Linked DNA regions of Lonchura striata. The protein of the gene in region 4 binds, or shares a complex with, the protein of the main gene of each other region. Links are inferred from orthologs where the notes say so. Each region holds a gene or a part of one and is shown on either strand. Other genes may lie near its edges. The genes, in order: CWC22, GEMIN5, PRPF6 and SNRPD3.

Region 1 (7,723 bases), on a different chromosome or scaffold from region 4:
ATGCCTCAGTTCCCACTCTTTTACAAGAAGGGCCATCAATAAAGCTGACGGCAGTCAGGAGAGGTTCCTGCTTCTCTAGGAACAAGCAGTTAAGCAGCTAGACACCCTGCTACAGGATGCTGCACATGCCAAATGCTTCCACAGGTTCAAGGCATGGAATAAACACCAAAGAAAAATCCACAAGGGTTACTAAAAGACTTTATCTGGCTGAGGAAGCTGCAAACAGGTAGAGTGTGAGAGTATGCCGGCAAGTACTTTTATATATCCCTATTCCTAAACTCTCTAAGGCATCTGCTGTTAACTACTGCTGGAGACTAGAGTAGATGGACCACTGGTCTGCCTTTCCTGCTTCGTTTTTTCAGATGCCATTTTCATTTGTTGTATTACACGCAATACCATGAACAGAATTCCACCATTTCTTGTTTAAAGACTGTCTTTCCTCTCTCCTAAAAATTCCCTTTATTGAGTAATTTTTCCTTACATTCCCCCTTTTTACTAATCACAATTTATTTCCTCAAGAGTCATTCTTAGTTTCATACATTACAAACATCTGAGCTGCACTGATCTACTTGGCAGATTTGCAGAATTGTGTAAGTGATACACACTTAAACAGCTCACAACAAATTCCATGGGCTGAACCATGACATGAAGTATGGAGTAGAAAATCAGTACAAAAATCAGAAAGTGACAGCATCTACAGCAAACAGAAAGATATTCATTAACATGTTTCTAAACATTTGTAAACAGCAGCATTTGTAACCTGAGTACTTTCATTGGAAGGGTCACCTCTTTCTTTAAAATATTATTTATGATTTTTCAGAACCACAATCTCACAATGTCACAGAGTCATTATCTGTGAAACAGGGAACACCTCACATGATGCAGTAACTCAACAAAAGCATTTCCTTATGCACCTTGATGGAACTCCCTGTAGGAACACTCAGCTTGTTCGTTGAAGCAGCCTCCTCCCCACCAAAGAACCAATTAAAACTCTGGGTGACCAGAACATGACACCTCTTCCATAAAAAGCAGAGCAACTGCTATCTCCAAAAACTTAACTGGGAGGGTGTGTATATATGCAAAAAAAAAAATTGTTTTTTTGAGGCCACTATAACATATCCTGGAATATTGCCCTTCCAAGGGGGCAATTCAAATTGTTAAAATTACACCCAGAGTTCTGTTGCCTGCATAAAGGCCATGACACAAAACAAGGGCTTTGCACTGTCCACTGGCAGCATGCATCCCTATAGAAGTTATGTCCACCTGTGTCATTTTAGAGCCACATTACCTTCAACAGTGGACACAGTACAAAAAATTCACACATTCACCAAGGTTTTCTACCCCTTTGAATGGTCATTACAGCACACAGCAGATCACTGAATTCATTCAAGGGTAACAAGCGTCCTTGTTTCCTTTTCCCAACATAGTAATATATGCCAGTCTGAATCCTAAGCTTCCAAGAAAGCGGTAATAAAAATCTTTGAATACCACAAAATAGTTACTGTATTTAAATCCTATCTAGCAGATGGGAAGAAGGCAGTGGGTCTTTTTAAGGCTGATCCATTCCAATGGATTCTTTATCATGTGTCTCTGCCCAAGCAGAACCAAAGAGACAAATGTTCACAGAAATAAAACAATGTTATGGCTGTTTCTGTATTTGCCATTTATCACATCTCCTTGCAAAAGAAGCTATGCTTGCTGAAGAAATTGTCACCCTCAGCTCTTTGTGACCAGGTTTTCTGCCACAAGTTAGCCCTCTTCTTTATCCATTTTCATCAAAGTGATTAAGTGAAACTGTCCAAACAGTGTGCTTTTGCTAACTGGCTTGTTTTGACAGATGAGGGAGCGCTACCAGGTGGGGAGAACAGGAGAAGGTATTAAACTACCCCTCAAGCATCCCTACTAGAAGTCACTCAAGTCAGAAAAGATGGTCTAAAAGAGTGAAGAAGCCTATGCAGGTTCCAACTCTGGGCAAACAGGGAGAGTAATACCACAGATCTGAGTCAGGGCATCACAACAATATTGCTCTGTTAACATGTCTCAAAACTGGCATCCATTGCAAACAGCATTTCTAAACTTTTTCTTCTTGCATTCCCAAAAAAATCAACCCCATCCACTCAGAAGTGGGACACATAGCTATTAAAAGGAAAAGTTTTAACGTGCATAGTATGACATACAGTTGTCAAATTAACTGCAACTTATTGTTTCAATATCTTTTAAGATTGTTGTTAAATTTCTCAAAATCCTTCTCCACTCCTCTACATGCTTACACTTACTGTTGAGCCATCAGCATTCAGTCAGTTTTGACCAATTATTGTAACATTTTACACTAATAATATTCAGGACTTTAATTGCATGGACAACAGCAGCTAGTATATTACTAGTCAGTAATTTACTGACTCCTAGTAGTATTTATCTTGCAAACAACTTCTGTCTGTTACAGATATTACTTGCTTTGCACTCAGGAAGTTTTATTTAACATAATATCAACTACAAACCTAATTACCAGTGACATGGGAAGTATCAAATCTCACAATTTAGTTTTAAGAACACTTACATTTACTTGTGTCACCCTGCTCTTCATCTTGACTTCCTGCTTTTTACGAAGTTCTCAACGTGCAGCAACGAGGCAATCCAAGCTGGAGTTCAGCATATGAAAACCATTTCACCTGTAACACACGGAAGAAAATCAAAAGCTTTCGACTGCACAAGGTGCCGGAACACGCACCTTTATTTTGTCCTTTAAGGCTATGCTTACACAAGTCCTTAAACCCAAAGGCTCCCCCGGGTCTATTCCGATACGCTGCGGCCACACAGCGGCTGCACCGCCGCAGCCGGCCCCGAGCGAGCGAGCGGACAGGCCGCGGCCGGGGCTGCCGGGGCCCGGCCCACCGACCCCGAGCCCGGCTCCCGGCCCGGGCCCGTCCGCTCGCGGCGGGGGAGGCCGCGAACCCCGACCCGGAGCTCCCCCGGACCCCACGGGGATGGCGGGAAGGGACGGCCCGCCCAGCCCCGGCCCCGTTCCTGAACCCGGCCCCGTTCCTGAACCCGGCCCGGCCCGCACCTCCCGCCGCCGCCGCCGCGCGCGGCCCGCACACGTCACTTCCGGCAGCGCGAGGAGCGCGCGGCCGGCCCCACCCCAACATGGCGGCCGGAGGGCGGGGCCGCCTCAGTCGGAAAGGAGCGCGCTCGCCCTGCGTGCCAGACAAAAACTGCTGGGCTGGGCATCCTGGGGGAAAAGCCCTGCACGCACTGCAGTGCCGAGCGCTGCCGTGTTGGAACACCTGTATGCTGCAGGGTCTGTTTGGCCTCTGAAAGTTTGAAGTGATTCGGCGCCACGGATCCAGGCTAACAGAGAGCCTCTGGCTTATTGTAGGCACAAATGTGTTTGGATTTGGGAGAGTAATTAAATGCATAGAAACGGGATGAAAACAAAGGACAGTGCTACATAAGGTCTTGAAGTGCTTGTGGTTCGTTTCCATGCTGTGAAATGCAATGAGCTCCTCCGGGCCAGGGCGCCGCCGCACCTGTGGGACCCGCTGCTTCTCCAGGCGATGAACATGGAGCTTTCTCAGAGCTGGAAAATGCTACATTTCTTTCTTTTTGGAGGTTGTTAAGTCAACTTATCTATTCTATACAGAGCATTAGACTTCTTAATGTTTTGTCACATCATGTAATACGCCTGTAGCGCTATTTTCATTGTAACAGTTAGTACAGACTCAAATGCTCACTGTCCAAAAAAAACCAAAAAATCACAGCATAGTAAGGAGAGGATATGCATGATTGGACAGATCTGGTCAATGTGGTGCAGCAATTGAAGACTTAATCCCCAAGATTTAAATTATCTCGCTCTTCTGTCACTCAGAAGATCTCAGAAGAGTAAGAGAAAAGGAGCATCAGGCCATGACTGAGATTGTGCTATGTAGCACTTTAACTCAGAACCACTTTGGTTTAAACTAATCTACCAGTTCACGTTCCCCAGAATTTGAAGCATTCACAAAATGGGAGCAAACCTATTCTCCAACTTTTCCAAAGGCCATCAATGCCATTGTAACATTGTATATTGTCACAGAGACAAATATTCTGTGCTCAGGAGAGAATAGTTATTTTAAGTTACACATTCATAAAAGTCAACTTTCTCATTTATGTTGTAATACTAAGCAGAATAGTCAAGGCAGCAAAACACACCTTGCCAACATGGAAATGTTAAGAAACAACAATCAGAAAAAGTGAATTTTTTTTTCTGCTTATAACTTTTAGCTACAGGATTTGCTTTATTTGGCTTAATGATTTGCAAATGTGGCTCTTACACAGGAGACTGGAAACAGCATTTATTTGGACAGTTCTACACATTCTCACAATGTGAATTGTTAAATGCTTTCACACGCTATTCCCTGAACCCACTCCATGATTTCCCATTCTGTTGTGCAAGTAATCTTTTTCCTGCCTCACGCTGTGTAAACAGGTGTCACGAAATGAAAAGGCATATGGTGCCAGTGTGGCAGCAGCATCTCCTGAGGGGGACATCCTGTGGCTGGTGCCACACGTACCATCCCTCAGCCTGCCCCTCCAAATGCCCTGAGAAAGAGAGAGCATAGACAGCTGAGCTCTGCCTCAGAAGGAGCCTGAGGACAGAGATGGGAAATGTAAAGGTCTTTTTTGAGGTGCCTCCACCAGGAGACTACTGATAACCTCTGAAAAACATGTTTGTGATTTAAGATGGGCTGAATAACTGGGGTGACTTCAATTCTTCAGTTCTCTTCTTGGATGTGGAAAGCAGACAAGGGGCTGGGGCAATGGGATTCACTGAACAAGAGAAAGGGCATTAAGTGCTGAATAGCAGCAGTGAAGTGAGGTTTCCCTTTTCTCCTTTCATAAGTTAATGCTTTTACTATTGGATTATGCAGTGAAGCTCCCTTCTGCTCATTTCTTCCCTGCCCTGCTCATCTTACAGTCCTTTTTCTGCCATAGGTCACAGTTAGATTTTATTCCTCACCAGGTTAAAGAGAGAATTCTTAAATTTTACAGTGGGTCTAGTCCTGTGGTTTGGCAAAATGCTTTAAGAGATGCAAGTTTTAGTTCTGTGAGAGTGAAAAGACAAAGCTTGCACTTCCCAAGTGCTTTAAGGGGGTAGAATGCAGTGCAGGTTGAGTACCCCTGATCAGCCTTTTGGAATCTGCTGCACTCAAGATCCTAAATGTACAGAGTCTGAAGTAGAGACGTGACTGTGGGTTCCAGCTTCTAGAGAGTAAGAGGGATGCAGGTACATTCTCTTGCTTGGTGTGTCTTCCACAACTTCTTTCTCAGCATGTGGGACTCCTTACTTGCCTGGAAGGCACTCAGGTGAAGTAATCCAACTGAAGCAATCCTGATCACCCTGCAGCTGTGCAGCTACTCTGTGGGTGTAAGAGATGGTGAGGTTCTCTCATCTCTATCTCAGTCTGAAGTACATTACAGTTCGAATGGAGCATGATTTTGGAGTCTGGAAAAAAAATCCAAAGACAAAACCACACAAGAATTAACTCATGTTGAGTGGCTTTATGTGTATTTAGAACAGCAATAATCAACAAAGAATTCTTCACCTTAAGTAAGCATGATGATCAGGCTTTGAAATACAATAACACCCAATTCATACAAGTACCTAATGCTTCTGGAAAAACAGTGATAGCTGCTCCAATAGCTTATTCTGGTAACTGAGTCTTTGCAGTTAGTATTGCTTTATTAATTAATTTCAAAATGATGGATTGGACATTGGTTTCCTGCCTGCTTTATTAGGAGTAAGGAATTTATACACAGCTAATTCCCATCCAAGTTAATCAGTGTGACCTTTAGCATGCTGTAGAATTATAATCTTGTGCAAGGCTCAAAAATTGTTTCCAGATAGCTGCTGCAATGTGCCAGCTGCAGGATATTATTCCACACATCAGCTGAGATGAGAAATCTCATCCTCTGTGGTTTCAGTTTAAGGTCACATAAGTGAGGTGAGTCAGCAAAGGAGGCTGGAAACAACACAGCTGAACTTGTTCAGTAGCAGAGTGGATCAGGGACATGCAATCCCTACTCTACTGCTACTTTTTGTGTGGCAGGAGTTATTTCCAATGCAGAGTGTTAAGAAACAACATATAAGAGAGAAAGAAGAAAGCTCTTACATCACATAAACACCATTGTTTCAGAGGGATCCAATATCCGTGCTCTGCAGTCCCCTCACCATTACAGTTTAATAACTGCTGGAAGATCATGGGTTTACAATACTAAGAAATATCTCTTTTTGATACCTCAAATGTGTGACACTCATCACATTCCATCACAAAATTTGTTTTTCCCAAGAAAACACCAGCAGACTCCTGCAATGTGTTTTGAAACCTCATCAAAGTGAAGCTATCCCTCTGAGCTCAGTGGCAGGATGATCATATGTGGAACTTCCACACAGTTTCCTCTGTGTGAGAACACATCACATATGTTTGCTATTATTTTTAATGACAGTCTTTCAGCTGCTTCTCACAGTAATAAAAAAATCCACTCAGCTACTGTTTAAAGCACTTCCTGGTCTGTATCCTATAATCTGCCTTCTTTCAGTTTTGTGGCAATGCTCTTCTCCAACCAGCTTCTGGGACTGAAAACAATTCTTGTCCAGTCTAACCTTAAATTAATATACAGGGGAAGCAATTATTCAGAAAAGGAAAGCATAGTGAATGCAGATTGGCAAAAAAAAAAAAAAAAAAAATAAAGGTACATTTTTTGCAATGAGTTTTTGCTTGTTAATATAATTAATGTTTGTTTGTTTGAAGCCTTTCCTACAAAGTGGTATGGAGTGGAGCCAGACATAGTGCTGCAGACACAGGTCACTCTGGGCTGTGAACTGGTGTTTTCATGTCCTTAGTTTCACTTTGTCCTTACACACTGCAGAAGAATGTTGGTTCTTTTCCACAGTTTCAAGACTTCATCAAACCAAGGCATCATTCTACAGCCGGCACCCTGAATATCTGCCTAAAATTTCAGGGCTACACCATGAATTGAGCTATGTCATCATTTGGCAGCTTTAGATTATTTAGCAACTAAAATCCTTTTTTAGTAACTAAACCCCTTTCAATTTTGTTTTTACTCCTTTGTGCTGATTTTTTTTATCCTCTGTGAAGTATTTTTATATCTCCTGACCTTTAAGGAAAAAAATATCTCTGCTGTTCTGCAGAGCTAGGACAGTAGAACCCATGGTGGGGTCATGATGCTGAGTGCTAGAAGGTGTGTTTGTGCCTAGAAACCAGAGGACAGGCTAATGAATGCACTTTTCCTTCCTGAACTAACCTGGTGATTGTGTCACAATAATGCATGATACAGTAGGTAAAAGGAAAAAAAAATGCAGCGTCCTGTCCCTTCTGTCATTTTCCTCCTGCATTTTTACACTGATGTCATTGAGCAGAAGCAGCCACTCATGCCTTCAAATAAAGGACAAGTTAGTATAGCTGCTTCTCACTGCTGAACTGACATTTGGATGTCATGCTCATCTTTCATCTCTTCAACAATGCAGAGGGAAAGGTGATCTCTGACCAGAGCTGTTGGCTGCTCCCAGTGAATCTCAGGTGAGATTAAAGCACCAACACATGGTGGGTAGATGATACGCCATAATGCATGGAAAGGACAAAACCAGCATGAACATTAATTATTCTGGATTTGTTTGGTTTCTGGATAATTCTTATGGTCCTGATGTCATGACAGAATATCTAGA
Region 2 (7,884 bases), on a different chromosome or scaffold from region 4:
AAAACGTACCTATGTGTAAGTTTGATTTGAATTCCACATTGTGCTTTCTTACAGCCATTTCCTGTGCTTCTAACAGAACCTGTAAAAAAAGTTAAAGAAATGGAAATACTGAGGAGGAATTTAAAGAATGCTATTTCTTATCTCTAGATAACATGAAAGAAATTGCAAGTTTAAGTCAGTTACAGAAAAAGTATTTTATAAAGATAAAAACTGTTAAAAGACAAGCATCTTTTACATAAGGAAGCTTCCTGCATAGAATGAAAAAGCTTCAGGATGATTTTATTACATTTTTGGAGAGGAAAGGGAGTGGAAAAGATGTTTTCCACCAGCATTTGTCAGCCTTCTCTCCAGAGACCTTTGTGTAATTAGACATTTGACTAGACATAAATTCCAAAATGAACTTGGTCTATTCAATATTTTCAGCTAATACAGGACATTTCTTTGCCATAATTATACCAGAAATCAATGGTTCAGCCAAGAAAATGAGTAATTTGAGAATTCAAACTACCACAGTGTATTCAAAGCTTTTGTGCCTTTACAGAATTTAGTCGTCTCCTTAATAACGTCCTCCATCTCTTACAGTTTAAGAACCAAAGCACACAGATGTAGCAGCCATTAGTGACCAGGATTCTGCACCTTTTACCAGGAACTTAACACCAAGCACTGCTAGAGAGGACACCCACATGGAATTCATCACCATGACAAGTTAGAATAGCCAGCACAGGTGACCCCAACATATTCATAAGTCACAGCATCACCTGACTGCAACAAAACTGTGTTGTTAGAATGTGCTCCCAACAGGCTTCCTTGAAACACAAAAAGCCACAGAAGTAGAAGCACCTCCAAACTTATGGTAACAGATATTGATTTTCAAGTTTTCTGGAAACCAGGAGTGGTAAAGAATACTATTATTTACCTCTTTGATCACCTTTGCTCCCTTTTTGTCGCTGAATTCCAGCTGAGCAAGAGCCTGATCAATGGACATTCCTTTTATCTGCAATCAAAGTGGTAAAATTAACTTCTGCATTTACAAGTATTTCCTTTCTCTGATTCAGAAGACAATGCTTAAATTATACTGCCATTACAAAAACAAAAATACTGTCATTTCCTTAATTACCATTTCTTCAGTGTAATACCTGCTAAAGCAAAGTACAAACAGCCATTCCCTGTCCAGATCCATGCTCATCCCCAGGACTCTGCTATAAAGATGCTGATTAAACTGTGATTGAATGAGGCTCTTAAGACAAATACAGCAATTAAATTTTGCATTCTCTCAAGTAGAGCACAAAGTACTCTTTGCTTACCAGTTTTGCCAGATACCACATCTTATCTTTGCTGTATTTTATTTCCCTCCGACAGTGATATATTTCCTAGGGGCAAAAGGAAGTTAAAGGATGAGTAATTTTGCTGTGGAAACAGGAATGGAGCATCCATGTCTGCTCCACAATCTATTTTCTTACTAGGAATAAAATAAGAATGGCTCTGCCTACTATGAGAACAGCACATCAGGCATAGCTTTGATATTTGAAACTAATTGCACTAAAAAAAGGTATGGACACACAGGAAATTTTAATTTAATCTTATAACAGTTTATAAGCAGAAGTCCCTGAAAATGATAATCAAAAGGTTTATCACCATCTTTTCCTCTCATTCTCCCCACTTTAGAAGCAAAGCCTTCATTCAGCCTTAAAAATATTACCCTGCTGTCAACTCAACTTACTGGGAGAGCAAATTAACAATATTACCAGAATGAACTTAATTAGCTCTCGAGAAGTGAAGAGGGTTTCAAGTTTGATTAGCACAAAGAGCTGCCTCCACAGACCCATTTAACATTACTGCTAGCAGGGACCAGCACCAGCTGGTAGAATCCAACATCAATGCAAATGTGAAAGAGATGGAACTCTTGATAATCGGGTAAAACACTGATTTAATAAACAAGTCTGTCAATAGCTGCATTTTCACACACACTGCATCACTCCACAGCAGGGATTTCTATGTCCTAGGCCACAATGTTCACAAAAGCAATCAATAAATGCTCATGGCTCACAAAATACATGCCTAAAAAACCTCATTTCTTTTCAGATATAAATACTTTTACTTTGCTGAGCAGTGTGTCTAACGGAAGACACAACACATCCATTCCTAATGAAGAAAAATGCTAACAGTGGAATTCCAGAATATCAGCTCTTGACAGTACAATTTAGACCTCCTTGTAGTTCAGAAACTTCTACAGACAGAGGATGGGCCCCTCACAGCTTGAACCACACACTGAGAAGGTGATCAGCTCCCAGGAACTCAAGGCTCCAATGCAATTTAGAGATGGAGAGCATTCCAAGTGGTATCAACTTGTACAACACAGCCAAACTGATAAAATAAAATCCCAAATAATGAGCAAACAAGCTTTCAAACTAGTGCCATGTTCAGTCACCCTGTGCAGACAGTGACAATCTGCTCAACATTCTCAGGTGAGGGCATTCACAGGTGCATCCTTACAGCTGGTCTGCGAGGCTCTCCAGGCAGCTGGGGAGGGTAAACAATCCTGTTCTTCTTCTCCCACTTCCCAATTTTCTGCAGAGATGTGCTGGTGTGGATGCATGACAGAGGAAAGAGACTTCCCGATGCCAGCCACCTGCAAGGCAAGACCACAGTCTCAGCTGCTGAACACAAGGGTTCTTTGTCCCTGCCCAGTTTATCTGGAAAACTGTGAACTTGCTGTCTTGAAAAAGAGAACCAGCACATTTGTATACTCAAAAAATCAAACTATTAAATCCTTTATAGTTTATGCTGGAAAGGCTTTTTAATTCAGCAAGAAGACTCAAGCTTCTTAAAGGAAACCATGAATGTTGGTGTGAGATTCCACATGAAGTGTCCTCAGACTGTCACACAAAGTCACAGCCACCTCTGTTCTGATGCTCTTGTGGGGTTCAGAACTCTCACAAACCATTTTTACCTTTCCCAAGGTACTTTCCATACTTATTTAACTTTTACCAACAACATATTTAGCAGTGAAAATTTCTAGCTTTTCACAGGGCTCTGTATCTCAGAGCATTAGAGGTTTATAAACATTGTGACATTTGAGAAGAGAGGTGTTCTAAACTACTTCCGAAGCACAATTACGTCAATCCAAAAACCAGGGAGCTGATAGCAATAAATCAATTTTCAGGCAGTTTGCTCAGCTCAGATTCTGAAAAACCGAGCTACATTTTGCCCCCTGCTGCCTGGACAAAGCAGCAGTGGGCAGCCACTGGTGACTACAAGAAACAGAAGAGTTCCAGACTAAACACTGTGAGTTTTACTGAGCCTTGAATGTCTTGGTGTGTGTGGCCGTGTGCAAAGCATCTTAAAAACAACAGGCAAACAGAGTATGCCAAAAGGGCAGTGTACAGCATTGTTCACAATAATATGTGAGCAGAAATTAGCACAACACACATATTTCAATGTCATGGAATATTTCTTCAGGTATTTGCAGGGATGCAGCTGGCAATTCCAGTGCTCCTACAGCACAACTATGGGGTTCCTCCAGAATGAGGGGAAACTTCAGCAAGTGAGGAAAGCAGTGACTGGGAACAGCACAGATATCACATTACTGTGACCTGAACTATGGAGTCAGAGAAAATAGGGATGTCCAACAGAAAGAAGCGAGGAGAGAGACGCCTCCATCGTGGCACAAGCTCTGAATACACAGAAACATGGCACAGGGACAGAGTTCCTACAGCTCCAGGGCTGGGTGGGATGGCCAAGCCAGGGGACCCCAGAGCCCAGCCCCAAGCAGGGCAATGCCAGTCCCACTGCCAGGGTGACAGAGCCAGACTCACCTCTCTGGCCGTGCCCAGCTGAGGAGACCTCGTGCCCAGGCAGCACCTGAAGGGAAGGGAAAGTGAAGGAGGCATGAACAGAATGGTAAAACCACAGTATGGTTTGGGCTGGAAGAGACCTTGAAGACCACCCAGTTGCACCCCGTGCCATGGCAGGGACAGCTCTCCCATCCAGCCTGGCCCTGGGCACTTGGAGAGTTCCAGGGGCAGCCCCAGCTGCTCTGGGAAACCCGTGCCAGGGCCTCAGCACCCTCACAGGGAACAATTTGTTCATAATATCTAACCTAAACCTACTCGCTGCCAGTTTGAAGCCATCCCCCTCATCCCGTCACCCCAGGCGCTGTAAATATCCCACTCCATCACTCCTGCACGCTCCCTTCACACACTGTAAGGCTGCAACTTGGTCACCCCCAAGCCTCTCTTCTCCAAGCTGAACAACCCCAATTCTCCCAGCCTTTCCTCACACGAAAGCTGCTCCATCCCTCCGCTCAACCCGGCGGCCTCGTCTGCAGCGAGACCGTCCCGGAGCGGCGCCGCGTCCCCTCCGCCTCACCCGCGCCCAGCGCCCAGCGCGCCGCCATCTCCCCGGCCTCGCTTGGCGGCAGGGGCGCGGCTTGCGACACTTTGCGGCGGCGTGCGCGGCGCTTGGCGGCAGCGCCCGGAGCACGAGGGGCGGCCGGAGGGGAGCGGGGCCCATGGCGGCGGGGACGGGGACGGGGACGGGGATGGGAGTGCGGGCGCTCCCCGCCTCCCCCAACTGGTACAGCAGCCGCTGCAGCGATGCCAGCAGTGACGGCCGCCTCTTCGGCTTCGCGGCGAGGCACCGCGTCTGCCTGCTGGATGTGGCCGCCGCCGCCGCGCCCGCGTTCCACGGTACCGTCACAGCCTCCCCGGGCCCCGCGCCCGCAGGGGCTGCGGGGCCTCCCCGCCAGCGGGAACCGGGGTGGGCGGGCGGGATGCGGGAGTGTGGGCAGGCCCCGGGTGCCCCGTGACGATTGCTCCTCGCCCTCGCTGCCAGGGGAGCTCATCGGGCACACGGACAGGATCTCCGGCTTCGCCTTCTGCCACTGCCCCGGGCAGAGCAGCCTCTGCGCCAGCAGCTCGGATGACGGCAGCGTCAAGGTCTGGGACAGCGGGACCCTGTCGCCGGTGCTGGAGTACAGCCTGCACCAGGTGGGGACACGGGACACGGGCACGGGGACAGAGGACACGGGCACGGGGATACAGGACACGGGACACAAGACATGGGGACACGGGCACGGGGACAGAGGACACGGGACACAGGACACGGGCACGGGGATACAGGACACGGGACACAGGACACGGGCACGGGGATACAGGACACGGGCACGGGGACAGAGGACACGGGACACAGGACACGGGCACGGGGATACAGGACACGGGACACAAGACATGGGGACACGGGCACGGGGACAGAGGACACGGGACACAGGACACGGGACACAGGGCTCGCACTCGGAGCACGGCGAGGCTGCTTTGCCCAGAAGGGAGCTTCACGCAGGTGTGATGGAACCTGTTTGGCGCTCCTGGCCGCCTCTTTGTTCGTAGCCTGCGGCGCTGCTCATCCCCGTCGTTCGCTGCTGCTTGCCAGCACAGCTCGTGCTTTGGGCTCACTGCCTTTTAACCCTGTGGGGATTCTGAAAATTCCCACAAATTGTACTGGTTTTGGACAAGTTGCAAAAGTCAGGCCTCAGAGGCAGCAGAGCTGCGATTTTAGCTAAGCAGTAGACATAAGATTTGTCAGCAGAAAAATTATACAAGAAGTAGAAAGTAGGGACAAATAGAACAATGGTAAGTGTATTAACACTTGACTAGAATAACTCCCTAAGTTATAGAAAAGTATATTTAACGGGATATTAGGAAGTTCTAAGCTTAATAATGGAGCTCTGTGCATTGTATCTTAAGGCTTACAAGTAGGTATTGTATTCGAAATAAGCAAGCATTGTTTTAACCAATGGTATGTGTGCTTATAGTGGTTGTATAGAACTACTGTCAGTATGCTTTTGCTCTGTGTGAGTGGTCAAAAGGCTTTTAAATTAAGTTGTAATATTGAGTTCTTGGTCTGCTGCCTGGGATGTGAGCTGCTGGCATCTTCCCATTGTCATATCCATGTAATGAAGCTGATGCTGGAAAATAAACAGCTCGAGGTGCATTTGTTAGCAGTCCCAGCTCACCTAAAGTGATCTCAGTAAATTGCTGCGGCCACAGGACAGACTAAATGTGTATTTAAAGAGCTCCTGCAGCTCAGGGGTGCCCATCAGCAGCTACATCCATCTCTAAAACCTGGAAGAACAGAGGCACTCAGGGACACAGCACAGTGCTGCTGGGCACTACTCACAGATGACGTCCTGCCTGTTTCTCTGTGTTCGGTGAAGTAAAACACCTTTAAACCTTCCCAATGCTCTTTCTTCAGAATGCCATCTCAGCACTTCACTGGTCCCCTCTTGTGAAAGATCTGATTGTGTCTGGTGATGAGAAAGGTGTCATTGTTTGTTACTGGTACAACAGAAGTGACAGCCAGCAGTTCTTCCCAGAGCCCAGGACAGTTTTCTGCCTCACCTGTTCTCCTCATCATGAAAACCTGGTGGCCATTGGGTAAATGCTCATTACTTAATGTTTTTTTTTCCCTTATGTCTTGTTTTCTACTCTTCTGCAAGAATTTAATTGTGAGGTTTTGCTACGTGGCTGAAAGGTAAATTTTAAGAGGTCTTGGTGGATGTTCTTTTAGTTTTGGAGTAAAACAAATTAGAAATAACTTTTAGATTAAAAAACCTGCAAAGGCAAAGAAATCTGTGAAAATGTAATGGTCCAGCCTGGCTTCTCTGTAATAGGGTGATAGTGACCCTGGAAAGAGCCTGAAAATCACCTTGGATATTATTCCACAAGCATCCAAGAATCTCTTTATTAATTTACATCTCTGCTTTCAGCTACAAGGATGGCATGGTGGTGATAATTGATATCAGCAGGAAGAGAGAAGTTGTGCACCGGCTGAGGGGCCATGAGGATGAAATCCATTGTCTGGCCTGGTGCCCTGTGCCTGGGGAAGAGAGGTTACCTGCTTGGCAGAATGAGCTTCAGGGTATGTGAACATGATTAACAACTTGTGGAGTATTTTTTAGTTCATGTAAGTGTCCTTCTAGAGGACTGAATTTTTTACAGAATGTTAGTAATTAGCTAAGCAACTGATAAGTTCAATAAAATATGTTCTGATATAAATCAATGTAATTTTCAGCTCATTTTTATGACACTTTGATTTTTAAAGCATAATGACATGACTTCAATGCTATTCAGCAGTTCCTTCAGAAGAAGGCAAGGTTCCAAATGGGGAGCTGACACAGGACACAGCCACGAGGAAAGGTTGTTACCTGGCCTCTGGAAGCAAGGATCAAACCATACGAATATGGAGCTCTACCAGAGGCAGGAGTAAGTAAGAGATAAACACTAACAAGATGTGGAATAGCTCCTGAACTACAAATTGCCTTTGGCCAGATTCTAAGCATGGAAGACTGTGGTCCAGAATACCAATATTTTATGAGGTTAATGCATTATCATGGAAATTATTTGATAACCACTGGTAAGATAGATAATAAGGATATCAGCTGTCACAGGTAGGATTGGGAGCACCATCTGGCTGCCTCCCATATTCCCATGATAAGATCTTGCTTTTCTTTTCCTTGCTTTATAATGTTGTTGAACTCAAGACAGTTTAGGCTGAAATTTTCCATGTCAAGTGTCTGCCTAAAGCTGATTATTTTGGAAAACTCACTTCAACCTTTGTTTGTGCTGAAAGCATGGGGAATGCAATTAAAGCTGCATGCTCCCAGGACTCCTCTGTCTGTTTGAGAATTTGGATGTGGTGCCTCCTGGTCCTGCAGGTGTGATGACTCTGAAGCTGCCACCCACCAAGAGGAGAGGTGGAGCCGTGGACCCGGCGGTCAAGGAGCGCATCTGGCTCACTGTCCACTGGCCTGTTGGCCACCCCTCAGACATCGTGTCCAGTGGCTTTGGGTAAGTGGGGCAGCCAGCAGCAGCTGCAGACTCAGTTGTT
Region 3 (8,303 bases), on a different chromosome or scaffold from region 4:
TTCCCTCAAAGACAGAAGTGTAGCACCTTCCACAAAGCACAAAACAAAAATTACCAATATCAAAATCTGCAGAGATTTCACTGCCTTGTGTATCCCCATGACCAGTGTTTACTCTTCCAACAGAAAGTAATTCTAATCTGGAGAATATCAAAGTACTCATTTGCCAATACACAAAATCTGAGCAAAAAAACAAACACACATAAAAGAACACACAGCCACCTCTTGTTTCTCATAAAAGTCACATTTAATTTTTTTCCTTACTTTCAAGTCTGAGAACTGCTGTTGAATTTTGGGCCGTTCCATACGGTACTTTTCTATTTCCTCTTTTTCTCGTTGTTCCCTTAGGAAAAGGAATACTGAGGTCATGCTCAAAGCAGCACTTGGCAAGACTTTGATTAAAGTGTTCACATAACAGAAGAATGTGTTTGATAAGAGTTAGGGCATAAAAAAGGGCATTTTTTTCCAATCTTAGATTATCAACATTACAACAAGAGATCCTTTATCAAATAAGACAGTATTATAGTGTAAAAACAGACATCTCCAAGTGAACTTCAGTCTCTGACCTCCTCTTAATGAGAGGTGAATTTAACAAGTAACACATACTGTTTACAAGCATGAGGTGACTCCTCTAACAATTTCCAATCTACTGTGCAGTCTGTGATGCATCTCCCCACACCATCTTAATGAACTACAGGGACTCTTAATTAACTACAGTGAAGTAATTTAATGGCATCCACTATCAAAGCAAGTGGTGCAAAATACCTGTCATCCTCAATTAACCAGGAAACACCCCCTGCTAGTGCTGTAGCTTATCCTACCTCCTTTCTTTCCTGCGTTCATCCATCCTCTTGTCCAAAGCTGCATAAATAGCATCTGCTTCTTCATCATCTTTTTCATAGGGGCCACTTGAGAACAGGCTCCCAGCATAGCCATTGAACTGGAAATTGGAGAGAGAGGGGAAAAAAAAGAGGAAAAAAAGGCAGGTTTTTTAAGTTCCTGTTATGTTTCTGCAACAACAATCACCTGAAAATGCATTCACAGGCTGCTTCTGACAACATTGCATCAGATTAACACATCCCTAAATAAAAGCATCCTCCAGAAGGATAAATAAACACCATCCCATGGTGGTGTTTATTCTCCCACACCATTTGAAGCAAAACTGCTACAAAATTGCTTCTTTCTCTAAACCACTTCTATTCAGCAATAAATGAGATCCCAGGATAGAAGAGCCATTCTCTTCCTTTAACCACTTTCTACACCAGTGAAAGCAAGCAGAAATAGTATCACAACATTCAACCAACCAAAGTGGGACTTAAGAGACTATACAGGCCACTTAATGACAATATATGGCACAGAATCGGAGTCATTTAGGTTGGAAAAGACCTCCAAGATCATCAAGTCCAATCTTGTCAAAGCACATCAGCTTTCATTTGTGAAGAATAAAAAAAAAAAACCTGAAATACTTAAACTAATTTTTATTTATAGATATTTTCCAAAAACTCTCAGGGCTCTGCATCAGCAATTAAACCACAATCCATGGAGCAAGGCCACAACAAGAATCTGTAAGCACCATGCCACTGTGCATACTGAGGTCTCAATCAATAAATAAAAAAGGAAATGCTGCCTGCAAACTACGGGAAACTCTGGGTTTGAAGCCTCAGCTAGGAGCAGGGCTCATAGCAAGAGCAGAAGAGCTCAAGGACTCTTCTTCCACCTGGGGAAAAACAGCTGCAGGATGATGAAAACCTCCTCACCTCGTCGTAGTTGGTGTCATTCAAATCCTCATCATCATCATCTGCGGTCTGGTTCTTCTTCATCTGGTCGCCCACGGTTCTCTTGCCCGGCGGGGCGTGCCGGTCGTCCACGGGGTCGTTGGCATCGCGGGCAGGGCCGATGTCAGAGCGCGTGGTGAAGCCCGTGGCTCTGCAGGGATAAACCTGCTCAGCTCACTGCTACCCCAGCCTGCCACAGCCACTGCTCAGGGCAGGCAGGGAAAACATCATTCCTTTGGGAGAACGGCATCAGGCGCTCCTCGTGACCAGCTTTCGTAAAGCCAGAGGGAAAACAGCCTTGGAATCATGGAATGGTTTGGGTTGGAAGGAGCTCACCCCGTTCCAACCTCCTGCCATGGGCAGGAGCACCTTCCACTAATTGCTCCAAGCCCCATCCAACCTCGGACACTTCCAGGGGTGGGGCAGCCACAGCTTCTCTAGGCACCCTTTTATAGGGAGAACTTTTCCCACAAATACACTGCAACCACCCAGCTCACAGCACTGCCACCCATCCCATGCACAGCCCCTTTCTGAATTCTGTCTCTGGATCTCTCAGCTGACCCTGCAGGCTGTGGGGCACCACAGGCTGGGGATCAGGGCAAAGGCAGCTGGAGCTGAACCCCCACACTGGCCCGGCAGCACCCCGAGGGGCACAGCCAGCAGGATCTCCCCAGGGAAGGCAATAGGAAATCAGGGGGGATGAACACAACTCACACCCAGCAAACAACACCCTAAAAATTATCTCAGCCACCACCAAACTCCCTCATTGTTCCATCAATAAAAGCCCCCAGGTTTGATCGTTTTTCAGACGCTCCCACCCGCACACAGTCACAGAATCAGGAGGGACACAATCCTTTGCCGGTCTGAAGCACCCGGGAACTCATCCTGGGAGCCAGGCTGGCTTTTTAACACAACCCCGCCCAGCCAGAGAGTGAACGGGAGCCATCAGGAAGGGACAACACTGAAAAGCCGCGCGGGCCACCCCGAGGGGACGGGGACGAGCGGCGCACGGAGGTGTGACCCAGCCGGGCCGCGAAAGGGCTCGGGAGAGCCCCGAGGCCCGGCGGAGCGACCGGGCTGTGAAGGGACCGGCGGGGCGGGGGGGGCCAGGCCAGGCCTGGCGGCGTCTCACCCGCGGCCCAGCCCCGGCACGTAGCCCAGGGGCGCGGGCATGCCCAGGAACGGCTTCTTCTTCTTGTTCATGACGGCGGTGGCGGCGAAGCGACAGCGAGGCGAGAGCGGGGCGGGAGCGGAGCAGAGCCGGGAGAGGCGGCCGGGAAAGCGGCGGCGGAAGTGGCGCCGCGAGGCCGGAGCGGCACTTCCGCTCCCGCCGGAGCAGCGCCCCCTGGCGGCGCGGAGGGCTGAGGCGCGCTGAGGGCGATGAGGGTGGCGGGGACGAAGGGCGTGGGGGTTGTGAAAAACCGCCAACCGCCTGGTTTTTAACATTTTTTTAACAGTTTAATAATAATAAAATGGTTGTAAAAATAGCAATACAATTAGAGGAATAAGGTTTAGAGTTAGGACAATTACAAGACAATAAAAAGCAAAGAATTACGGACGTCCGGCTGCTCTGGGACACTCAGTCATGAGAAGCATACCTTGTGAACAAAGGAATCCCCCTTAAACCAATACACTTGTTGTATATTCATATATCCTTCATGGTTATGCATACATTCTATTTAAAACAAGACCTCTGTCCGTTGTATGTCAACTGTTTCCTTTAATCCCCAAGGCGTCTTCGAGTCTGAGCAAGGCCTGAAGAAATTAGCTTCTTCTGATCAGAAAACCATAAATTCCTTTTCTCTGGAAGATTTAGGTGTTCCTCGAAGCAAGCATCTCATCCCCAAAAAAAAAGTCCCCCCACTTAGGTAGTCTCTATTTTTACATTATGTTGGAACCTAAAACTATATTTAACACACTACTTAAGAGAATTTATACAGCATAACTTTCTAACATTACACATATAATATTAATTGTAATACTTGTGAAAAGCCAATCATAAAACATGCATTTTTCACAGGGACGTTGAGCTCTGCTGTCATGGAGTTTCACATTTATAGCAATTCGTTATTTTTATTGTCATTAGGAAGCTACTAAGGAACATCCCAGGTGGCGTGCGGCCCTGTGAGAAGCAAAGCTGTGTTTAACAACCCCCGGGCAGAATGGGGCAGAAAAGGGGGAAAAAGGGCCAGGATCATCCCAGGAGGGCTGGAGCAGGACAAAGCCTCCATCTGCTCACCCTTGTTTCCCGAGGTGTGAGCTTTGCCTCCCCCCTTTTCCTCCTGCTAATTCCGAGCCAAATTATCTCTGGGAGCAAAAGCTGGATTTCTTCTCATTCCTTCTGAGGGGCCTCTCACTTCCAACTTTATTGTGTGGTGACAGCAGGGATGGCCCTGCCAAGGGACCCCAGGGGTGAGGGGTACAAGTGCAGCCCCTGCCCTGTGCTCATCCCTCCTTCCCGAGCGTGTCCCAGGAGCTCCTGCCTCAGTTTCCCCAACCGGAGCCCTGGGCAGACATCTCAGGATGAGCCAGCTGCCAGCTGTGAGGTGTCCAGGTGACCCTGCCAGCGTGTGCAGCCGTGCCAGAGCGCTGGCAGGTCCCTCGGGAGAGGCTCAGGGTCACAGAACACAAGGACAAGGGCAGTGACAGGGCAGAGGAGGGGACAGGGCTGTCCTGGCACTGTCCCTGTCCCGCAGCCCCCTCCCAGCCCCAGCCCTGCCTGCTGCTGCTGCTCCCTGCCAGCTCTGAGCAGAGCCCAGCTGCGGGGAAGATAAATAGCCCCATTTTGCATGCTAATGGCATCCCAACCCCCAGCCACTTCCCATCCATCTATTTTTGGTTTTCGCTGGAGAAAAATAAATAAATAAATAAATGAAAAATAAAATGCCTTTTGCCAAACAGTTGGGGTGGCAGAGAGGGAGGGAGGCTGCAGTGTCCCAGCTCTCCTGCTCACCCTGGGGTGAGGGCAGAGCCCATGGGAGCATCCTCAGCATCAGGGAGGGGTGTGGGACCCCCTGACTCCCCAGCCTGTCCAGTGATCTTGGACCCCTCTGAATACCCAGAGCTGCATCCATGTTCTGGCACACCCAACGTCATGGAGCACCAGTGGGTCTTCCCTGTGGGCTGGGTGTGGTAAATTTGGGGGGTTTTGGAGGTAAATTGGGTTCCCCCATCCTGCTAGAGGATGAAGGACTAAGAGGAGCCCATTGGGAGCCTCCCTGACCCATGGATGGATGGGGACAGCAGGGAAGTGTCCAGTCTCTGCTGAGGCCCTGAAAGCTGCAGGAATTTCACTTTTGGGACAATCTCCTGGAAAAACTGAGCTGAGGTGAAGGATGGCAGCAGGGTGACCCCAGAATGGGGCTGGTGCTTGGGCTCTAAACCTTCTCTCTTTACACAGTAACTCTTACACAACAAGAAAACTCAGAATAATTTCTAGGTTAAGTAAAATCAACCATAAATGAGTTTTAATCATCTCTGGGGATGGTTGGCATGTCCTGGTGAGTGCAGGGGAGGGCACTGGCTGTGTGTCCCACCAAGCCTGGGCAGCAGAGGCACTGGCAGCTCTGGGCTGACCTTCCCTTGGAGCACAGCAGGATGAGCTGCTCAGGATCCAGCCCTCAGGCATCCTCTCCAGCCCAGCTCTACCTTTTGGGCACTCCATGGGTTTTTCCTTGTGTTTCATTTTGCTACCCAAGCCTGGCACTGGGCTGCTGCAGGAACATGGCCAAAAGCCCAATGGGGTAATTAATCAGCAATTATTCTGATTAGTGCAACTGGGGGTTGCAGGGTGGGAAGCAAGGTGGGGAGAAATCTCTCAGCTGCTCCTGGAATCATCAGGATCAGGAGGTGGTCCATCCCCACGTGGGAAGGAATGGCCTGTGCATTGCTCTGTGCTCACGAAATACCTTAAAGCAGGGTGTGAAGCAGGAAGAAAAGATGTTTTCTCCCTGGTGCAACAAAATCTGCAGGGGTGAAGGGGCAGCAGCCCCTGTTAAAGTTGCAAATATGCTGCAGTTTAACCTGCAGGGAGCTGCTGTCGTGTCTGCATGTTGGCAGAGTGCTTACCACCCTCGGTGGTGTTTTTGGGGAGGGAATAAAACCCCAGAGGGGTGAGACCACCCACAGCAGGTCACTCCTCTCTCCTGGGTGCACAGAGTCATCCCATTTCTGCTTTGGGACTTTCCAAGCTCAGTTTGTGTGTGTGTGGCTGAGGAAAAGAGGTGGGAGGGGATGCTGGGCACATCAATGTTCAGAATCATTCAGAAAGCTTGAAAGTGAGAAAAAATCACTTGGATGAGCGCAAGGACGAGCTGACCAAGGCAGATCCTGCCAGGGACTGGGATCGGGGTCCGGCCCAAAGCCCAGCAAGGAGCAGCCCAGCCCAGGGCCGGGGCGCTGCGGCCCCTCGGTGACACAAAGCCGCCTCTGTGTCCCCGGGGAGAGCAGAGGCAGCGGCGGCTTCTCCCGGGACAACGGGAAAACAAACCCCGGGGCTCTCCCGAGGCTGGGAATTCGTGTTTTTAAATATCACATAGCACTGCAAGAATGCATCCGCAGGGCAGGATCAGCGCTGGGACTCTTCCCAAGTTCTGTTTCCTGCTGCCTGCCTCTGGCAATAGGAGAAGGGGAAACGGCTTTAAACTAAAAGAGGGGAGATTTAGGTTAAATATAAGGAAAACTTTATTACAGCAGGGGTGGTAAAACACTAGTTCAGGAAGCTGTGGATGCCCCATCCGTGCAAGTCTTCCAGGTTAGGCTGGACAGGGTTTGGATCACCCGGGTTTAATGGAAGATGTCCCTGCAAAAGCCAGAAGGTTGGAATGAGATGGGATGGACTTTAAAGGTTCATTCCAACCCAAATTGTTCCACGATTCTACGAAAATCCCAGTTGCAAAACACCTGCCTGCAAGTCCTGAGCAGAAATCCAGCCCCTTCCTGTGTGCCAGTGCCAGGCACAGGGACAGACATCCCAGAGGCACTAGGAATGCCTGTAGCAGTGTGAGCCCCTCAGCTGAGCCCTCAGAGAGCAAAGAACCCAAATTTGGCCACTGAAGCCCCACATTTGCACCCTCAGCCAGTGTGATGCTTGCAGGGTGGTGGTGCCATTGCTTTACAGTCCCAAATGGGATGATTACTTGGATTTCAGATGTGGAAGTGCAAGAGAAGAACAAAACAGAGCTTATTTTTAATCCCTGTTGTCTCAGTTCCTAAATTAACACTTTTGGAGCCTGTTCTCACTTGATTATCACCCAATGCCGTGAAATCCTCTGAAGACAGGATGTCCTACTTAACAAATCAACTCCGTATTAGGTAAATATACATTCTGAAGTTTTAATTAGTCCCATGCTACTATACAGAGGCACTCTGAGGACTCATCTGCAGCATCTGCCCCCCTCTGCACCCCAAGCCGAGCTCTGGTGTGTGGTGGGAATTTTGCCAGAGGCAGCAGCAGCAGGTGCCAAGATCCCACAGCAGCTGGGAGGGAGTGAAATGCCTTTGAGTGTCACCTCCAAGCCATTGGAGGTCTCAGTGACAATTAGCAGAGATTCCTAAAGGGTCTTCAACACGAGGCTCACACTCTCAGCAATCCAGAGAGTGGAGCTGGCGTCAGCCGCAGGTTTGCTGGGAAGAATCCCCACGTAGGAGAGAGCTCAAGGGCACAGTGTCTTGCCAGCAGAATGTTAATGATGCTGCCCAAATGGGATTCCTTAAAATTGTCTTTTCATCTGGGAATGCCCAAAGTCAAGAGCTCTGGCAGATGGATGAATATTTCCCAAGGTGCCAAATGATTTGGGCTGCTGGGTGAGCTGGGGGAGGAGAGTCCCTGTGCTAAGGGCAGCATATCCCTGGCCCTGCCCTCCACTGTTCCAGGTTCATCTCCCACAGCTGAGCCAACAGCAAAGCTGCTGCCTCTGGTCATCATTGACCCAGAGTAACAGGCTTGGGTTTGGGGGATTTTCACTTGTTCCTGCCACCCAAGATGGTGCAAGCTCCAACCATGGGAAGGGTAAGGAGTGAAGGTGAAGGTGAAGGTGAAGGCAAAAATGAAGGTGAAGATGGTGATGAAGGTGAAGACAAAGGCAAAGGTGTAAGCTGAAAGTGAAGATGATGATAAAAGTAAAGTTGAAGTGGTGATGAAGGTAAAGGCCTGCTAAATCCCCCAAAACACCAGGTTTCCCATTTGCTTCCCAATTCTGTTATTCCATATCCTTTCTACTCTCTCCATCTGTCCTGCACTCCCATCCATGACTCCTTCCTAAAAACCAGTGTCCCTTGCCCTCTCCGGTTCCCCAAACCTCTCTTCTTCAGTAAGGGATGACATTAAAACAATCTGATCTCTGCATCACTGGGGTGACAACCCTTGGGGGACACCAGTTAATCCATCCCACCATCCTCACTGGGACCAGCACTCCCTGCATCCTGAGAGACGCAACCAAAGGTGAGAGCAAACACGGAGCACCAGGATGTCCGAGCATTTGAACTCTGACATTCCCTAACTTCTGATTTTGCAGCCTGGCTGTGTGAGCA
Region 4 (7,440 bases):
TTGAAACAATTCAACCATTTAAGTCAGTAAAAACACCATGCTACACTTTCATGAAGTTTCAACTACATTTGGCTTCCTGCAGATCAGCCAATCTATACACAACTGTCTATAGATAAGATCAAAAGCTGAAGTTGACAGTGAGTTTTGTTCAAAACATCACCATTTGGACTGAATTTAATGGACAGCTATTTATAAAACTTTCCTCACACACCTGCACTGCCTTTCAAATTGACAAAGCATTTCATCCTGGGAAATGGCGGTTTTATGTTCTGTCATCTTTTCCCAGACACAGGGAAAAACTAAGAAAGTCAGAACAGATTTTTTCACTGCAAATATAGATTCAGGCTATCAAAGTTGTGTGTTCCTAATGAAAAATTCTCCCTATATCCAAAGAGAAAGATAAAAAATGCAAGAATACAAATACAATATAGAGATTTGAAGATAAACCTCTATCTACTGTAGGCCTATATAAAGCTAAAGGACACAGTGCTCTGCTTCTCAGGAAGCAGCCTCTGTTTTGCTGTATTTTCCATAAATGCAGCTGCTAGTAAGACTTTATAATGTATGACCCAAAATTCTTCATTAAGAATGCCTTCTAATTCTTCAGAGAATAAATGACAGCAGGACTAAACAAGAAAAAGGAAACATAATGATCTTCAGAAATCAATGCATCACATAAAGTGGTCAAAACTAGATATAATAAAGTCCACTATTTTCCAAAGCTGGCTTGAGTTTGAAACCAACCTACAGTGTATTTGTCCAAGAATTGTCCTGTCAGGTAAGAGCAGACAAGTTTTTGTCAGAAACATTTATTAAACAAAGCTGATACTAACGTGCACACATAGTCAAGTTAACACCCCAAATACAAAAAGCAATTCGGCCGAGACCAAAATTATCTTCGCTTCTGGAAGATGTTGCCACGGCCCATACCACGGCCTCTTCCTCTTGCAGCCACTGAAGAAAGAAAACATCAGGGATGACATGAATTTGACATACCTGCACATTTATCTCAACAACTGACAAGCAAAATATCAACAGAACTCAAGGTCTCCTACTCAGAAGCAAGGAAATGCTCAGAAAGTGATGTGAAGAGCACAAAGCATTCTGTGATAAGAACCATAACCTAATGGTCCCACAGTCTGGCTCCTCAGGACAACTGCAGGTGATATTCAGACATCTCATGTTCCTTCTGACACACAAATCTGTGTCACCCCAGAGATTTGAAACCCCACACTCTTGCAAGGTTTTGCAACATGCAGTAAGTTACTCCCCCACATAAACGTTACTGCATGCTAACCAGGGACTTTGTGACTGCTACTCAACTACCTAACAACTAGACTGATCCCCTGAGAAAGGCACAAATGAGAGTGAACTACAGAAAAGGTAATAATTACAGCTTCCCAGCAGCTCAAGTACCATCTTTGTAACTAAAGCTGTTTTCCTACAACAGCTCAACAAGAACACCTGAATCCTTCCCTAAGCATTTCAAACAGCTGGTGGCCAAAGCTGCAGGAAAACAGAACTCTTAAATTTAACAGAAAGGCTCTGTTTAATAAGGCCACTCACTACCTCTAAATTACTGTAGCATCAATATTCATCACATCACATTCAGGTAATTGGGACAATTTGAGTCTTGACTCTCACTGTAAGATAAAATATACAGAAAAACACTGTATGAACCAGCAAGCTTTTCACTTCTTACTGCTTAATCTCCTCAGAGACAGAGATGAGTCTTCCAGTTCTACAGAAAAACAGGGGGAGGGATCATGAACAAACTGTACGTACCTTGAGCTTTGAGAATGGCTGCTTTCCCTCGCCCAGCTCCAGAGCCCTGGTTTTTATTCTTCATGCTCTTTAGCATAGGAGCATTCTTCAACATATCTGGTAAGATGAGAAACCGTATCTTGCTGCCCCTGATGTACACCTGCTCGAGCTGTGCCACCCGTCCATCTCTGTATGTCACTGTTATGTTGGACATCTGCAAGGTAAAAAATCAGTCAATGCTCAGACAGGCCTCACCTGTGACACAAGGCATCACGACCATTTAAACACACCCCATGCCTGCTGCCCAGGACTTTTGCTTTCTCACCAGTTTACAAATTAGCTTTATCAGTATCTATCATTTTTGTTTTCTTATATGCAAATAGTTTTAATAAAGCTATTCTAGTACTAACAATTGGGAAAGCATTCTAATGTCAATGATCACTTGCCTGAAATCAAAGTTAGGCCCTCTTGGAACGACTATAGTAATGTGCATTAAATAAGCTTTAGTTTCTTAAATCAAGGGGTTTTTTTATTCTTACACTCAGTGGCTTTAAGCAAAGAATTCTGGAAAAACACTGTTCACAGGACAGACTCTTAAAATCTCTGATCCTACTGACTGGGATGCCCAATCCTACTTTGAAATTGGAAATAAGCTCTGGCCTCTTTGAAGCATTCTGTAATGATGAATCCACTTCAACACGGTAAAAAACAGCACCAGTACAGTTTTTTTTTAATCCCAGAACTAAAAGCAACAGTCTTTTGATCAAGTTTTGAGCCTTCTGAGGCCCAGATAAGCCAACCTTCCCTCCATCCTTGTGAAACAAAAGATACCTGACAATTCATGTTGTCCTCAGCTTCGATAAGTTTGCCTCGATAAACTTCTCCTGTATTGGTCTCACAGGTCACGATGTGGCCCTCGGCCTCGTGCAGGACCTTGATGGGCACTCCAATCGACATGGCTGCAGTGCTGTGGCTCTACACCTGAGGCACAAGGAAATCAAAAGCTTTATTACAAAGAAAGATGTCGAATAAGGTCCAATTACACAATCCATCATCCCTTCCATTAGTGTAAAGCACCGATTTTTCTCACATTTATAACACAACATGCGTTTTGACTATGCACCAGTAACACTCCTCTAGAGACGTGCCCATCAAGACTCTAAACATCACCAGCCAGTCTTTTCCAGGTCTCTTCTGGGAAATTCACTTTTAGGGACCACAACACAAACCACTCGTACCTCCAAGGGAAGAGCCCCAGGCGGACCCCACAGCGGTACGGCCGCGCTGGGGGCGCGGCGCCAAGCACGGGGCCCCCCAGCCCTCCCGCTCCGGCCGGCCCCTCCGGGGCTGCTCCGCTCGGGCGCCTCCCCACAGCCAGCCCAGGGAGCCACGGAGCCCCGCGGGGAGCCGAGGCCGCCGCGCCGCACTCACCGCCCGCGCCGCTCCGCTAATGGCCTCCGCCGCCTCCCGGCCTGCTCCGCGCGCCGGAACCGGAACGCGGCGCTGGGGGCGGCGCGGCCCGTCCGCTGCCGCCCGGGGCCGGCCCGGCAGCCCCGCCGCGCCCCCGCTCCGCGGCAGGGCTGCGCGCCCCTCGCCCGCCGTGTCATGCCCCCGCCCGCCCGCACGCCCCGCCGCCCTCCTCGCCGCCACGGCGCGGGGCGAGCGCCCCGGGGCCCGGCCCCCCTCAGCCCCCGCCTCCGGGAGGAGCCAGCGCCGGGCCCCGGGGCCGCGCCGCCGGCTCGGCGGGGCCGGCAGTGAACGGGCGGCGGGTGCCGCCACCGCCATGAAGAGCCCCCGGGAGGCCGGCGAGCCGCCGCCAGGTCAGTGCGGGCCGCCCAGCCCCGCTCGGGCCGGCGGGGCCTCCGCGGGCAGGGGGCGGCGGGAGGCGGAGTCCGCCCGCGGAACGGGCCGGGGACAGCGCCCGGCGGGCGGCGGGTGCGGGCCCCGCCGAGCCGCGCTGCCCGCAGCAGCCGTGCGCAGTTACCGGCTCCGTCGGTAAGGTGGTGGCGGCGGGGAGCCGGCCAAGCGCAGAGGGGTTCGCAGGGTGGTTCGCAGGCAGGGCATAGACGGGCCGGTCTCCCGTGTCGGGACGGCAGCGAGCCATCGCCAAAGAGCTCTAGGTGTGCTGGGAAACAGGTGACTGGAAACTGGACGGCCAGGAAAACTTGTTATCGCTCTCTGAAGCTTTCACGTAGAAAACACGTAGCCCTTGGTTAATGTGGGACTTGGTAGAGGCCCTGGCTGTTTACAAAAAGGGGACAGATTCATAACATACTAAGAAGAAATTATGATAAAATAGTTGAGAAGTCCTGGTTTGAAGACAAATGGGAATTGGTTTTCTTTTCTTTTTTTTTGTTTTTTTTTTTTTTTTGTTACGATACTTGAGAACACCTTAAGCTAGATGAATTTAAAAGACTGAATATATCAATTGGTATGCTGTTCTTTAAAGTCATGATTAAACAGGGGCACAACTAGGAAAAATATAACAACGTTATCTAAAAAGTTCTATAAATAATATTACCCCAAAACTAAACAAATCCACGTGATATCAAATGCATTTTTATTCCCATCATAAAATCTAGAGGACCTTGTTAACCAAGCTTCTCGAAGGCCTTTTCTAGATCAAAGGTTATTGAGGAAAGCTCTTTGTGATTAACTTGTTTTGATCAATGCTGAAGTAGCAATGACAGATACAACTGTTCAAGTCCTGCTAGTGGTGAAACTGAAACCACCACATTGCCAGCTCCGTAAAAAGAAAAAACTTGAGGCAGAGGATGGAGCTTGTGTTTTGGGACTTTTTGGCAGAGTTTATTAATTTTCCCTCTCTACTGAGGTTTTGATGGAATTAACACAACTGGTACCACTTGTGAGTTTTGTTTAAATTCTGTAAATTACCATCCCTGAGAAAAAAGACATCTATAGAAAAGGTTTAAATCTGTGGGGCTTCTAAGAGATTCCTGCCCAGAGATCTTGGTGTGTTTTCTCCCAGTGTGGTTTAACTCCTCTTGTGGCACAGAAGTACAATCAGACAGAAAAGACCTGTGTCTTACCTGCTGTTATCCAGGAGAAGACACCGCTTCAGTTGAGGGGTGGTGGGTACATCACCTCACAAAAAAGAAAAAAGAAACTTCCAAGGGAAAAGGGGGTGGAAAGCCAGTGACCTAGGTATGGAACAATGAAGGAGTATGAGATTAAACCAAATGCTTACCTGTACAGAAATACTAACTGTATGTTCCCCTAAGGAAGAAAAAAATCCACCTGCCAGTCAGACAAAACCACATTCCTAAGTTTCCATGATTGTAGTGCTGAGAACAGGCTGACTTCATGGCATGGAAAAACATTCCTGTATGGATTGACATTGTTTGTGTTCTGCTCACACAGTTGACTGCATCCAGCTGAAAGTGCCAGTGATTCAGCAGCTGTACCACTGGGACTGTGGGCTGGCCTGCTCCAGGATGGTGCTTCAGTAAGTGGCTCTCTTACAGTGGGAAATCCCATTCCATGGGGAGGGGTAGCAGGAAACATCCCAGGGAGAAGAGGTGTGTTTGAAGCAGCCATGAGTTCAGTCTTAGGAGAGCAACAGTTTTTGAGGTACCCTTGGACAATGACAGCTGCTTGGGCCTGGCCCAGCTCTCCAGCAGGAGCAAGGGAAAACATAAACTGAAGTGAACTTTGGACTCCTTTGAATAATTGACTAATTACACAGATGCAGAATACCTAATCAGCTCTATGAACTTTGCAGGCTGGCATGCACAAGCACATAGAAAGTCTTGCCTCTTTTCTGTTGTTACAATTCAGAACCCATAGTTAGCTGTGACTCATCCGATTCCTTTTTGTATTTTCAAGTGATGGGTAGGTGTATCTCAGTTTATGAGTGTGTGCTGTACCTGTGCTACCTCTGTCCTGCTGAGCCCCAGCCTGTGGGATGAGTGTTTGTGTTCCAGGAGTAGTTTCAGCTTCAAAATTGTGTTGCCCTCTGGGGGTTTTTTGTTTATTTTTGTTTTTACCAGTTTTTGAACTAGTAGCTGTCCTGCTGAACTCCTCTTTCCTTCCACAGAGGAACATGAGCTTAGGTGCAGGAGAAATACCTATTTAGATGTCCACTTAGTAGATATGAAGCAGAAGATTTTCATTTCTCTCCATCCCTTCTGCCAAGACGTTAGTCCGTGTGCTGGTAATTTCCCATCTTGACTACTGTAACCTCTATTCCCTTTACCTCTTTGCCACTCCAGTCTGCCCAAAACTCAGCTTCCAAGATTAATCTTCTTACCCTGCTGATATGACCTTGTTTGCCCTGCATCCTCAGTTCCAGTTGCTTTTTATTTTTTATCATTTACTTCTATTTGTTTTCTTACTTTCAGAACTCCCTGTAACTACCTTGCCTGCCCCTTTGCAACCTGTGCCAAGCTTCCTCCTGACTTCCATCTCCCACTTTCTTCCTTTTGTGTCATCAGTGCCTAAGACAAGTTTACTTTGAATATTTACTGAGTTCCTTTATGGCTCCTCCTTTTAAAATCCATCTATTGTGTGAAGGAAGTTTTAGTCTTTAACTCTTCTTTCTCTGTTGGCTCTAATACACTTATACATTACACTGTAAACCCTTCAGGACAGAGTTCTATACCAGCTTGACTCTGGTACAGCACCTGTACACTTCTAGCACTCTAAAACAGTCAAGGCACCACACATTTCCAATTTTAAAAAGTCAGCAATAAATCTGGTTAAATATTCCCTATTCCCTTCCCTTAAATTTCTGTCTCCTTTGTGGGTTGGTTTGTTTTTGGGGCTTTTTTTTTTGTTTGTTACTTCTTAGCCAAGCCTGTTGTTTCAGTTTTTATGTGCTGTGATGTAGAGGCTTGGGCTACAGCACACATTTTGCTTCTTCTAAGATCTGTGCTTCTCTTCCCCTGCCTTTCTTGACGCTATAGGTACCTGAATCATTTGGACAATGATGAGTTTCAGAAAGCCATCCAGGAACTCCAGTTAACAAAGAGTATCTGGACTATTGACCTGGCCTACCTAATGCGGCACTTCGGAGTTAAGCATAAATTTTGCACCCAGACACTCGGAGTGGACAAGGGCTACAAAAATCAGGTCAGTATTCTCATCTACAGGGGGAGAGCAGGCAGCTTTAAAAACCTTGAGTGTCATGCTGTAAAAGCTCTGGTGTGTTACTGACAGTCAACCACAGTTAATTTGACCTACTGCCAAAACTGGCACAGATCTGTTCCAAAGGCAATACGATCCTGTATTGATTCCATCTTTTGAATTTTTAAAAAGTTTACATGTAGTGTTCATGAAAGGTTCCAGCCTATTTGACAGCCTTGGAGACTGAAGCCCTGTATTTATCTACAGCACAGGTACAGCCTGGGCAGCAGCAGTGTATAGCTTCCACATTTTCCCCATCACCGTGCCTCAGCCTTGACCTGGAAGATCCACCTCTAGAGGTGAGAGGGGAACTCAGCCTCCCATCACTGAGAGCTTGGCCTCTCCAGGACTGCCAACAAGGGGCCAAGGAGGGCCTGCAGCAGCAGTGACTTTAATGCAAGCTCCTGCCCAGTTTCCCCTGGGAAGCCAAACAGGCTTCTCTTATGTAGGCAGCTGAACAGCCACTGGATAGAAACTGCAACAGTAACTGACCAGGAGCAAATTTGATTTGTAATTCAGAGCAGAAATCCT

What was found.
Region 1: SNRPD3 (region 4) and CWC22 share a complex: the UniProt entries of both Homo sapiens proteins name them as parts of the minor spliceosome. The link is inferred for Lonchura striata from reciprocal best matches to the Homo sapiens genes SNRPD3 and CWC22.
Region 2: SNRPD3 (region 4) and GEMIN5 share a complex: the UniProt entries of both Homo sapiens proteins name them as parts of the SMN-Sm complex. The link is inferred for Lonchura striata from reciprocal best matches to the Homo sapiens genes SNRPD3 and GEMIN5.
Region 3: SNRPD3 (region 4) and PRPF6 share a complex: the UniProt entries of both Homo sapiens proteins name them as parts of the U4/U6-U5 tri-snRNP complex. The link is inferred for Lonchura striata from reciprocal best matches to the Homo sapiens genes SNRPD3 and PRPF6.

What each region holds. Positions count from the first base shown.
Region 1 is NC_134610.1:23,609,906-23,617,628, forward strand, and holds the start of CWC22 (pre-mRNA-splicing factor CWC22 homolog), read right to left. Parts: upstream 3,135-7,723; 5' UTR 3,065-3,134; intron 2,670-3,064; 5' UTR 2,585-2,669; coding exon 2,558-2,584; intron 1-2,557. UniProt on the Homo sapiens protein: Required for pre-mRNA splicing as component of the spliceosome. As a component of the minor spliceosome, involved in the splicing of U12-type introns in pre-mRNAs. Promotes exon-junction complex (EJC) assembly.
Region 2 is NC_134617.1:5,092,719-5,100,602, forward strand, and holds the start of GEMIN5 (gem-associated protein 5), read left to right. Parts: upstream 1-4,510; coding exon 4,511-4,688; intron 4,689-4,833; coding exon 4,834-4,988; intron 4,989-6,249; coding exon 6,250-6,431; intron 6,432-6,763; coding exon 6,764-6,915; intron 6,916-7,127; coding exon 7,128-7,259; intron 7,260-7,711; coding exon 7,712-7,844; intron 7,845-7,884. Other genes in the region: MRPL22 (large ribosomal subunit protein uL22m), read right to left, coding at 10-79, 917-994, 1,305-1,370, 2,494-2,629, 3,816-3,861, 4,369-4,396. UniProt on the Homo sapiens protein: The SMN complex catalyzes the assembly of small nuclear ribonucleoproteins (snRNPs), the building blocks of the spliceosome, and thereby plays an important role in the splicing of cellular pre-mRNAs.
Region 3 is NC_134619.1:6,854,432-6,862,734, forward strand, and holds the start of PRPF6 (pre-mRNA-processing factor 6), read right to left. Parts: upstream 3,094-8,303; 5' UTR 2,976-3,093; coding exon 2,905-2,975; intron 1,924-2,904; coding exon 1,755-1,923; intron 938-1,754; coding exon 819-937; intron 341-818; coding exon 262-340; intron 1-261. UniProt on the Homo sapiens protein: Involved in pre-mRNA splicing as component of the U4/U6-U5 tri-snRNP complex, one of the building blocks of the spliceosome.
Region 4 is NC_134620.1:3,928,215-3,935,654, forward strand, and holds the start of SNRPD3 (small nuclear ribonucleoprotein Sm D3), read right to left. Parts: upstream 3,304-7,440; 5' UTR 3,196-3,303; intron 2,746-3,195; 5' UTR 2,722-2,745; coding exon 2,596-2,721; intron 1,979-2,595; coding exon 1,786-1,978; intron 955-1,785; coding exon 893-954; 3' UTR 1-892. Other genes in the region: protein GUCD1, read left to right, coding at 3,548-3,584, 5,146-5,230, 6,690-6,855. UniProt on the Homo sapiens protein: Plays a role in pre-mRNA splicing as a core component of the spliceosomal U1, U2, U4 and U5 small nuclear ribonucleoproteins (snRNPs), the building blocks of the spliceosome.